Caenorhabditis elegans: one gene and its partner. The protein of the gene in region 1 interacts with the protein of each later gene in a pairwise test. Each region holds a gene or a part of one and is shown in the gene's direction. Other genes may lie near its edges. The genes, in order: nhr-171 and nlp-25.

Region 1 (4,382 bases):
AACCCCAACTGGACAAGCAATACTTCCCGATGGTATTGCCCCTCTTCTGAATACGACTTCTCAAATGTTGCATCGAGTAAGCTGTCAAGTTATTGCAATAATAATTGAGCTAAAGATGACCAATGAGGAGTTCATTTTGCTGAATCTAATATTCTTTTTGAGGATAGGTAAGTTGTTATTTTTATTTTAAATTCTTTATCTTTTCTTTAAAAAAACGATACGATTTCATGTCTGTTTCTTAATGCTTGTAGCCTGTGACCTGACTCTTTGAACTTGGCCAATCAAATCTCCTCATTTAGACGATGCTTGACTTTCTTCGCCCATAGTTTCCGTGTTAGATCTTAGTGGTGAAACATTCAAATATTAAATGCGGCAAAGTTAAAAATCAAATGGTGTCCTTTTTTGCAGACAACAACCTATCCGAATCCGCAAAGATCTCCTTGGCTTCTCATCAAAACTTCTTCACCAACGCACTTTTTGAGTATTGCCAATTGAAATATGAACGTCGTGCTCCATCTCGATTTGCAGATCTCTTATCTTTATGTCAAATTATTCAAAAAACTTCTTCCGAAATGAAATACATTGGAATTATGTTACAAACTTTTGTCCCCGGGTTTCGCGCTAAAACTCTTGTTTCCGATGCGTATATGATATAAAACATGTTAACATTAATGATGAATTGTTTATATTCTAAAAATAGCTTGCATATGTGTTGGATAGGAACGTGAACCTTTACTAGTTATCGACGTGAGCAAAGGGTCACTGTGAACTCTTCTTGCATTTTGAATTATTCCACACTTCTCCGGTTTAACTAATAAACCTTCTTATTATTCTCTATCGTCGTCACGACACAACATTGGCGATCAGGATCATTGAGAGCTCACTGCACGAGCGCACACCAACAAAAACTGGTACAAGGGGGCGATCCTCATATTTCATGTCAGTGGCTTGCATCTTTGAGGCTTCTTACGGACCACACGAGTGCGACCGTTCCTCCATCCGGATCTTGCCAGTTCATCTATACGGTACCTCAGTTGTTCACACTTGATGTTCCTCCAACCTTCTCCTAAGACTATAAGGTGCCTGAAACCTTTTTGGCAAACTCATCTCAATCTCTTTTGCCAATCCTTTGCACATGGTACCTCAGTTGTTCACACTTGCTGTTCCTCCAACCTTCTCCACACAGGTGCAACGCGTCCAATTCCGGTCGGAACACGTAGGCGGCTTCGCTCTTCCGAGAATTGAGGATCCCGATTCCTTCTTCTTTTTCTCAACTTCCCTGAAGTCGCTCCTGTCCACCTTGACTCCATCTGCCGAGCGCACACCATGTGCCTCTCCCCTTCTCTGAACCAACTTATCCATAAAGTACGGTGGGATGCAGTGAGCTCTCAATGATCCTGATCGCCAATGTTGTGTACTGAGGCCGAACAAGGAGAGAAGACGAGTAGTTTATTACATTACTAAACTAAGGAATCGTCTCTTCGTCAAAACCAAAGCCGACAGGTCGTGCGAGGATCAGCTCCCATTACTGATCATGCCGCCACTCGCAACAGAGGTCGATATACCGCCTCTGGAAGACGTCGCACTGCTCCGAGTCCAGGCAGTTTTGGTGGTTTTTGTCGTACAAGAGGGGAGGTGTTGGATAGGAACGTGAACCTTTACTAGTTATCGACGTGAGCAAAGGGTCACTGTGAACTCTTCTTGTATTTTGAATTATTCCACACTTCTCCGGTTTAACTAATAAACATTCTTATTATTCTCTATCGTCGTCACGACACAACAATATGTTTCTTTTCCCTCATCACAGAATTATGTACCAAAAAATGGGTTAATCCCACAAAGGTCTATCAATATCAATAGGTCTAAAGCACTGTACTGTGAAACAAAAACTACAATGTCTTTTAATATCTATTCGACGTCACAGGCATCAGTACAAGTGTCAGATGTTTATCGTTTTATAATGCTGCATTTTACCCAGCGACGGATTGTAAGTTGAGATAATCTCAATGGGAATACCTTCAAAGGTTGGCCTTTATTTTGAAAGTCCAAGTCGAGTGGTTTTTTTGAAATTCAATATCGTCTTGAACGTTTAATTTGATAAAACAACTGATTTTGATTCAATTCGAATTGACTGTTTTTTTTTCATTTAATCAAACGATTTTTTTCATTTCAATTTATAATTATTTTTAGGACAATATTTATCATTATATGCAAACACCAGCTACAATCACGCGAGATTCGGATGACTTTGAGAAAGTATGTACTGTATGCCGACGCCCAGCGTTCACCAGATATTATGGGGTAAGTATTTTCTAATTTTCTAATTTTCCGTTCACACAAGTTTTTGACTTTAAATTGTGTAAATTCAATGCAAGATTTTATTTTGATTTCGGTACTCAATATTTCTAATTCAGGCAGTCTCCTGTGAAGCATGTAAAATGTTTTTTCGCCGGATGATTATTGAAAAACTATCATACGATTGCAAGAAAATCAATAATTGCTATGAAACTTCAAAGGGGACTCGATTCAAGTGCAGGTCATGCCGGTTCAAACGATGCCTGCAAATGGGGATGAAGCTTCCCCCGTCGAACTACACAACGTTGGAGCTCAAAGATAACAAAATTGATGAGCTAGCTAATTTATTGACTGATTTGAAATTACGAGACGAAAAACGTTGTGATCGCTTTATGACATTTTACACTACGACGGATCCAAGTCTTCACGATATTTTGAGCAAGAATACAATAGTTGTTCATGAGCAGAACGTGAGTTAAAAAAGATATTTTGCAAATCTTTTGTGATCATTTTTTTGTTTTTTTGTAAAAAAAAAATTAAGAAAAATACATTATGGTTATTTATACAATTTCAAATTTCTACAAAAATAGGGATTCAGTTTGTTTGAAATTTTTATTTTAATCTTATTTATATTTAAGAATACGAAATTTAAAAAAGTACACAACTAAAAATTCCAATTTTTGATTATCAGGATCATACAACTACAACCATCGAGTGGTCGTTTCTTGCAGCTTATAACATAATTGAATATTTTACATCGTTTCATTTTATTGATAAACTCAATAATGATGATAAGGTTTTAAAACAACTTCAGTTAATCCCAATTATAAAACTTTGCAGATGAAACTATTCCAAGCCAACTCATTCAGATCGAATATATTTTGTGGCGGAATGCGCGGATATAAAGAAAAACGAGACAAAATGGTAACGCCAGGTGGTCAAGAAATACTTCCCGAAATTCTGGTCAAGTTATTGAATACATCTCCACAGTTGCTGCGTAGAGTGTGTTGTCAAGTGATTGCAAGGTTGATTGAGCTAGAAATCACGAATGAGGAGTTTGTTCTGCTCAATCTGATATTCTTTTTCAATACTGGTAATTTTTTAATTTATAGCAAGTCCTCTCAACCTTTGTGATATTAATTAAGCTGCAATTAGGTCACATCTTACTCAATTACATTAAACCTACAATTTTCAGTAGACAGCATGTCTGACTCGGCAAAAAGTACACTTGGCTCCTGGCAAAAACTGTACACAAATGCGCTATTTCAATATTGCCAATTGACTTACAAGCATCGTGCTCCATCTCGTCTGGTTGATCTCTTATCATTATATCAAATCGTTCAAAAAAATACATCAGAAATTCAGTACATTGGCATCATGACTCAAGCTCTCCTACCTGATTTTCGGGTCAAGAAACTTGTCTCAGATACTTATAGGATATGAATTTTTGTTTACTTTTTTGGAATAAATACATCAAATGTTAAATTGCACGCGGTTCATGTTTCAGCAAAGTAATCCTACAGTACTCCGCCGTATTTCTACAGTACTCTTGCAGAAATCAGTTATTTACCACAGTATAGGAATAGGTGTATGTGGACGATTGCAGACCTCGATCAATGTCGGTTGCCCGTATACAAAAAATCTTGAAAAAGTTGTCAGTGAAAAGGTTGTAAATGTAGATTTTTATTTCAAAGGTATAAATACTCAAAAATATTATAAATTTCAATTTGAAATACCCTCAGGTATTCAATTGTTCTAACAGGAAGTATTTTAGGAAATCTAGTTAGAGAATTTGCCTCACCACGTGTTTTCATTTTATAGGTCAGCAACACGGAGCACAAAAAATGTGCAGGGAGTTCTGGTCCAACGGTGCGGAAAAAGTAGTTACCTAAACCTGATTTCTGTAATTTTTTATGACTTTTGGATTTCAATTTTTAAATTTAACGAAACTCATAAGAGTCTTTCTTTGTCGTTTTCTTCTCAATTGTTCACAGTTCAATTTTTCGTCATAATTTTCTATAACTCAGTTTGTTTTTTACTTATTAACTCCCTGAATTTCCTTCAGATTTCACGTAGGATACTTTTTT
Region 2 (5,030 bases), about 12 Mb from region 1:
CTCCTATCAGTTCCAATGTTCCTCAGATCCTACCTCGTCTGTCGATTCATGGTTTTACACAGCAAACAGTTTCAGGTCCGGTGAAACTTAAAAACGGAAAAATCTGAACTTTCGAGTTTTCAGGACGCCGCCACCCGGTCCATCGCAGCACTGAACCGGATTTCCATGGATTTTCGATTCGTGATCAAGACCATGATGGCTGATCATCCATTGAGGGTCCTGATCGTGTTCACACTGTCATACTGGATGTGCATGTCGTGGATGTTCACCCAATGCGAGCGGTAAGTCCCCTTGAAGCCGAGATTAAGCTGAAAATTTTGGAAATTTCTAGATACGACGGCCAACTGGAAGTGGAGCACTACTACCTCAACTCGATGTGGTTCATAATGGTCACATTCATGTCTATCGGCTACGGAGATATCGTCCCGAACACTTATTGTGGACGGTGTTTATCTATTACTACTGGAATTGTGGTAGGCTTTCTAGAGTTTGGGCCAAAAAAAGTGCAAAATTTTTCAATTCCAGGGAGCCGGTGTCTCGTCGGCTCTAATTGCAATTATTTCGCGAAAATTGGAGCTCTCACGAGCCGAGAAGCACGTGAACAATTTTATGGCCGACTCGAAGCTTACCAATCAACGGAAGAATGCCGCAGCTAGCGTGCTTCAGGAGACATGGTGAGCAGAATACTTGTAAAGTGGCAAAATTTGTGAAATCCAAATTCAATCAACGCAAAATTTAATGCTGAGCATTTCATCAGTTGAAAATTTTTTGATATCTCCATCCGCCGAGGAGTTGCACGCGTTTAAAGTTACAGCCGGCGAAATAGTGTGGAGAGGGAGAGACGCAGACGCCACCGCTCTCTGCACTCTCCCCCTCCACCACGCTCTCTCGGGCGCCGAAACTTTGAACGCGTTTATCTCGACAGCGGTTAGAGATACCAAAAAATTTCCAAAACATAAATGATGCAGATTTTTAAGCTCTATTTGATTTCTGCATGAAAATAATAAAAAAAACTTTACTCCCTTCGAAAAACAACACTTGCAAACTTTGAATTTTTATATGTCAAGTTTTTCCTACTCCACATTTTATGCTGATCATTTCTTCAGTTGAACAATTTTTGATATATCTTACCGTAAATGAGATGTAACCATTTAAAGTTTTGCGTTGAGACATTGTGGAGGGGCGAGAGACGCAGACGCCACCCCTCTCTGCGCTCTCCCCCTCCTATACGCTCTCTCACCGCTCAAAGTTCAAACCACTGTATCTCTGCGGGGAATTGAGCTATCAAAAAATTTCCAACTGATGAAATGCTCCAAATTCTATGGTCTATTTAAATTTTTCTCAATTTTCCTATTTCAGGTTCATCCACAAGTACAAAAAAGCTCTGCACAAGGGTGACGACTTGCGACTGCGCCACCATCAACGCCGCTTCCTCCACTCTATCAACGAGTTCCGTCGAATCAAGTGGGACCAGCGAAAGCTCCAAGAAAAAGGAAATTCTCTGCTAGACGTCGGAAAACTGCACAGCGACATGCACGAGACCCTCTGGGAGATGCACCGTACCCAGGACCACTTCATCTCCCAGATCGACGTGCTCACTCAGAAGATCATGGAGCTCCAAATGACTCTGAACACCCGACCGCCGTGTTGTGCTCCACCGACTTCATCATCCAACGACGCGTACTTCTCTACCTCAACTCAGCTGGGCACAGTACTGCCTACAGTGATCCCGACGATTCCCCTGCCGCCCACGCAGTCGCCAATGCTCCACGCGAGCCAGTCACACCGGGAGCCCCTCCAGGTCACCACCACGACTACTACGTCATCAGATGGTCTGCCACGTATTAGCGTCGGATCCACGTCATCAACTGCCACTTCAGCATCCTCTGGGAACGGTAGTCTCCCACAGTGTACGGTAGATCAATTGTCCAACTGCCCGACCGGCGGGATCTACGCTACAGTAACCACACCGCTGATTTCAAATTTCGAAGAGGTTTAAACCTATATTTTTGTATTTTATCATTATTTTAATTTTTTCACCTGTGATTAATTCTGTGTTCGCTCCCCCGTTTTGTCCCATTTTTTTGCCATTTTTGATCTCCTTGTCCTACTCCGGTGTTGCCTCCTTCCGTTTGCAATATCAAAATGTGATTCGAAACTTTTTAAAATTTTTTTGACCAACTTTGTCGTTTTTCCCCCGATTTTTTATATTGAATAAAGCTAATATTTTGCTTCTGAATTACACAATTTTCCAGTTTTCAGGATTCGATATTAGAAAAATCGTGTTCTACTGAAAATTTGAACCAGTTTGTTAGTTGAAAAATTTTCGATATCTTCATTTTCCGCGGAGTTAGGACGCTTCAAAGTTTGGAGGGGGAGAGAGTGTGGGGCAGAGGGAGAGCGCAGAGAGGCACACACCCTGCGTCTCTCCCCTTCCACACTGTCTCGCCTCAAAACTTCGGCCACGCGTAACTTCTTAACGGTTAGAGATACTGAAAAATTTCCAACTAGAGCAATGTTCAGCACAACATTTTGCGTACAGAGAGGCAGCATTTATTTGAAAATTATAAAATTGAAGAAACTTTTTAGATTTTCTTGTCAATTGTTCAAAATTTTGATACAAAATTCTGAAAGATCATCACATAACAATCATTTTTGTCTTTTATAGTTCCTCGATATCTTCATTTTCCGCGGAGATATGAAGGTTCAAAGTTTGGAGGGTGAGAGAGTATGGTGGAGGGGGAGAGCGCAGAAAGGCTCGCGCACCCTGCGTCTTACCCCCCTCCACACTCTCTCACCTCAAAACTTTGAGCGCGCATAACTTTTTAACGGTTAGAGATACTGAAAAATTTCCAACTGGAGCAATGTTCAGCACAACATTTTGCGTACAGAGGGGCAGCATTTATTTGAAATATTTCAAATTGAATAAAATTTTCAGACTTTTTTTCAATTTTTCAAAATTTTGATGCAAAATTCTGAAAGAACATCACATAACAATCATTTTTGTCTTTTATAGTTTCTCGATATCTTCATTTTCCGCGGAGATATGAAGGTTCAAAGTTTGGAGGGTGAGAGAGTATGGTGGAGAGGGAGAGCGCAGAGAGGCACACACCCTGCGTCTCTCCGCCACCCACACTGTCTCGCTTCAAAACTTCGAACGCGCATAACTTCTTAACGGTCAGAGATATCGAAAAAATTCGTAAAAGAAAAATGTTTAGCGCAACATTTTGCGTTCATTAAGAAAACTTTTCACAAAAAGAATTCAAATATTTAGACAATTTTAGGGGACAAATGTTTTTGTCAGGTCAAAATGTTAATTTGATCAAGCCTTTGTGATTATAACAACGTTTTCCGACCAAAAAAAAAGTGTAGAATTCACCGAATTTCTCCAGTTTTTCGGGGTAAAGTGTAAAATTTTGGACCAGAATTGTCTTGTTTTAATGATCATCGCCGATCATCGAAACAGATTCGGCATATTGATAAAAATGACGTCACCTTGAAAATTGTATAGTATAAAATGCGTTGATTTTCTTATAAACTTCAATTATTTTTCTACACTTTTCGAGATATTTTTCAACCAAATTTTATCGATATCTTCTTTTCCCAGATTTTTTTTTCAATATGCAATCACTAATTGCGCTTCTCCTGCTATTAGTGTGCTTCTTACACTTGGCACAGTGCCAATGGGGTGGTGGATGGAATAATGGAGGTGGATATGGTAACCCGTATGGGGGTTATGGCAGAGGTGGAGGATATGGTGGCGGATATGGAGGTAAACTAAAAAACGTGTAAAATTGAATGTGGAATATGGTGCATTTTGTAAATTCCCAGAAATATTGAGTTTGAGCCAAGTTATGGCCGTTTGAAGTTTGTGGCATAGAAACCCAAATTCTGGATTTTCTAGGCCATCAAAAGTTAAGTAAGATAAAAATGCGCATAATTGTTCATAGATGAATGTTATGTATCTGAATTTTGAGAAAAAAAACCCTGTTTTGAGCCAAAATATCGCCGGTTTAAGTTGGTGGCCTAGAAACACAAAGTTTGAATTTTCTAGGCCATCAAAACTTAAATTATGCAAAAATGAGCATAACTTTTCAGAGATAAGTATAGTGTTCCTGTAATTGAAAAACTTCACTTTTTCCCGAAGTTATAACCATTTGAAGTTAGTGGCCTAGAAACCCAAGTTTCATGTTTTCTAGGCCATAAAAAAATTAAATTAGCTAAAAATGCGGCCAACTTTCCATAGATGAATATAATTTTTCGAAAATTGAAAAATATCAATTTTAAGCAAAGTTATTGTTGTTTGAAGTTGGTGGCCTAGAAACCCAAATTTTATATTTTCAGGTGGTTTTGGAGCACAGCAAGCCTATAATGTGCAGAATGCAGCTAGAATTGGAACAGAAGTTGCAGAAGGTGTCTTGGTAGCTGAGGAAGTGTCTGAGGCGATTGGAAAATAATTTTAACTACATGTTTTCTGTATAAAATTGTTTTTTTTTTTGAAATTAAAAAAATAAATAACTTCATCTTATAGAGCAGACAATTTGAAAAATTTTTTCAGTTGAAAAAATTTCAATATCTCTGCTTTCCGCGGAGATACGACGGTTCAAAACTGTGAGGGGTGAGAGAGTGTGGTGGAGGGGGAGAGTGTAGAGAGGCACGCACCCTGCGTCTCTCCCCCTCCCACACTATTTTGGCATTAAAACTTTGAGCGCGCGTAGCTCCTTAACGGTAAGGGATATCGAAAAAATTTTCACTGCAGAAATGATCAGCGCAAAATTTTGAACAAACTGCCGTACATTTTAAAGTGTTTAGTTGAAAAGTCTCGAAAAAAACCGCGGACAAAAGATGAAAGCGGCGGTTCAAATTAGTTAGTGTAAGACGGCGCGCACAAATCAGAATAGGCAGTCTTTGCCCGCGCGTCTTTATCATATCAGTTTCCTATTTGGTGTACCCATTTGATTGATAGTCTATTGGATTTTCGAGAAGAAAAACTGTATGGTGACATCACTCGGCGGCGGGTATAAAAGCAG

The links.
Region 2: the proteins of nhr-171 (region 1) and nlp-25 interact in a two-hybrid assay, tested with the Caenorhabditis elegans proteins (one large-scale study listed by BioGRID).

The regions. Positions count from the first base shown.
Region 1 is NC_003283.11:7,509,947-7,514,328, forward strand, and holds nhr-171 (Nuclear receptor domain-containing protein), read left to right. Parts: upstream 1-1,818; 5' UTR 1,819-1,894; coding exon 1,895-1,987; intron 1,988-2,190; coding exon 2,191-2,301; intron 2,302-2,414; coding exon 2,415-2,765; intron 2,766-2,986; coding exon 2,987-3,091; intron 3,092-3,135; coding exon 3,136-3,388; intron 3,389-3,490; coding exon 3,491-3,738; 3' UTR 3,739-3,780; downstream 3,781-4,382. Other genes in the region: nhr-172 (Nuclear Hormone Receptor family), read left to right, coding at 1-167, 409-656.
Region 2 is NC_003283.11:19,603,890-19,608,919, forward strand, and holds nlp-25 (Neuropeptide-Like Protein), read left to right. Parts: upstream 1-2,290; 5' UTR 2,291-3,621; coding exon 3,622-3,772; intron 3,773-4,344; coding exon 4,345-4,457; 3' UTR 4,458-4,530; downstream 4,531-5,030. Other genes in the region: kcnl-1 (Calmodulin-binding domain-containing protein), read left to right, coding at 1-75, 124-281, 332-473, 526-674, 1,360-1,999.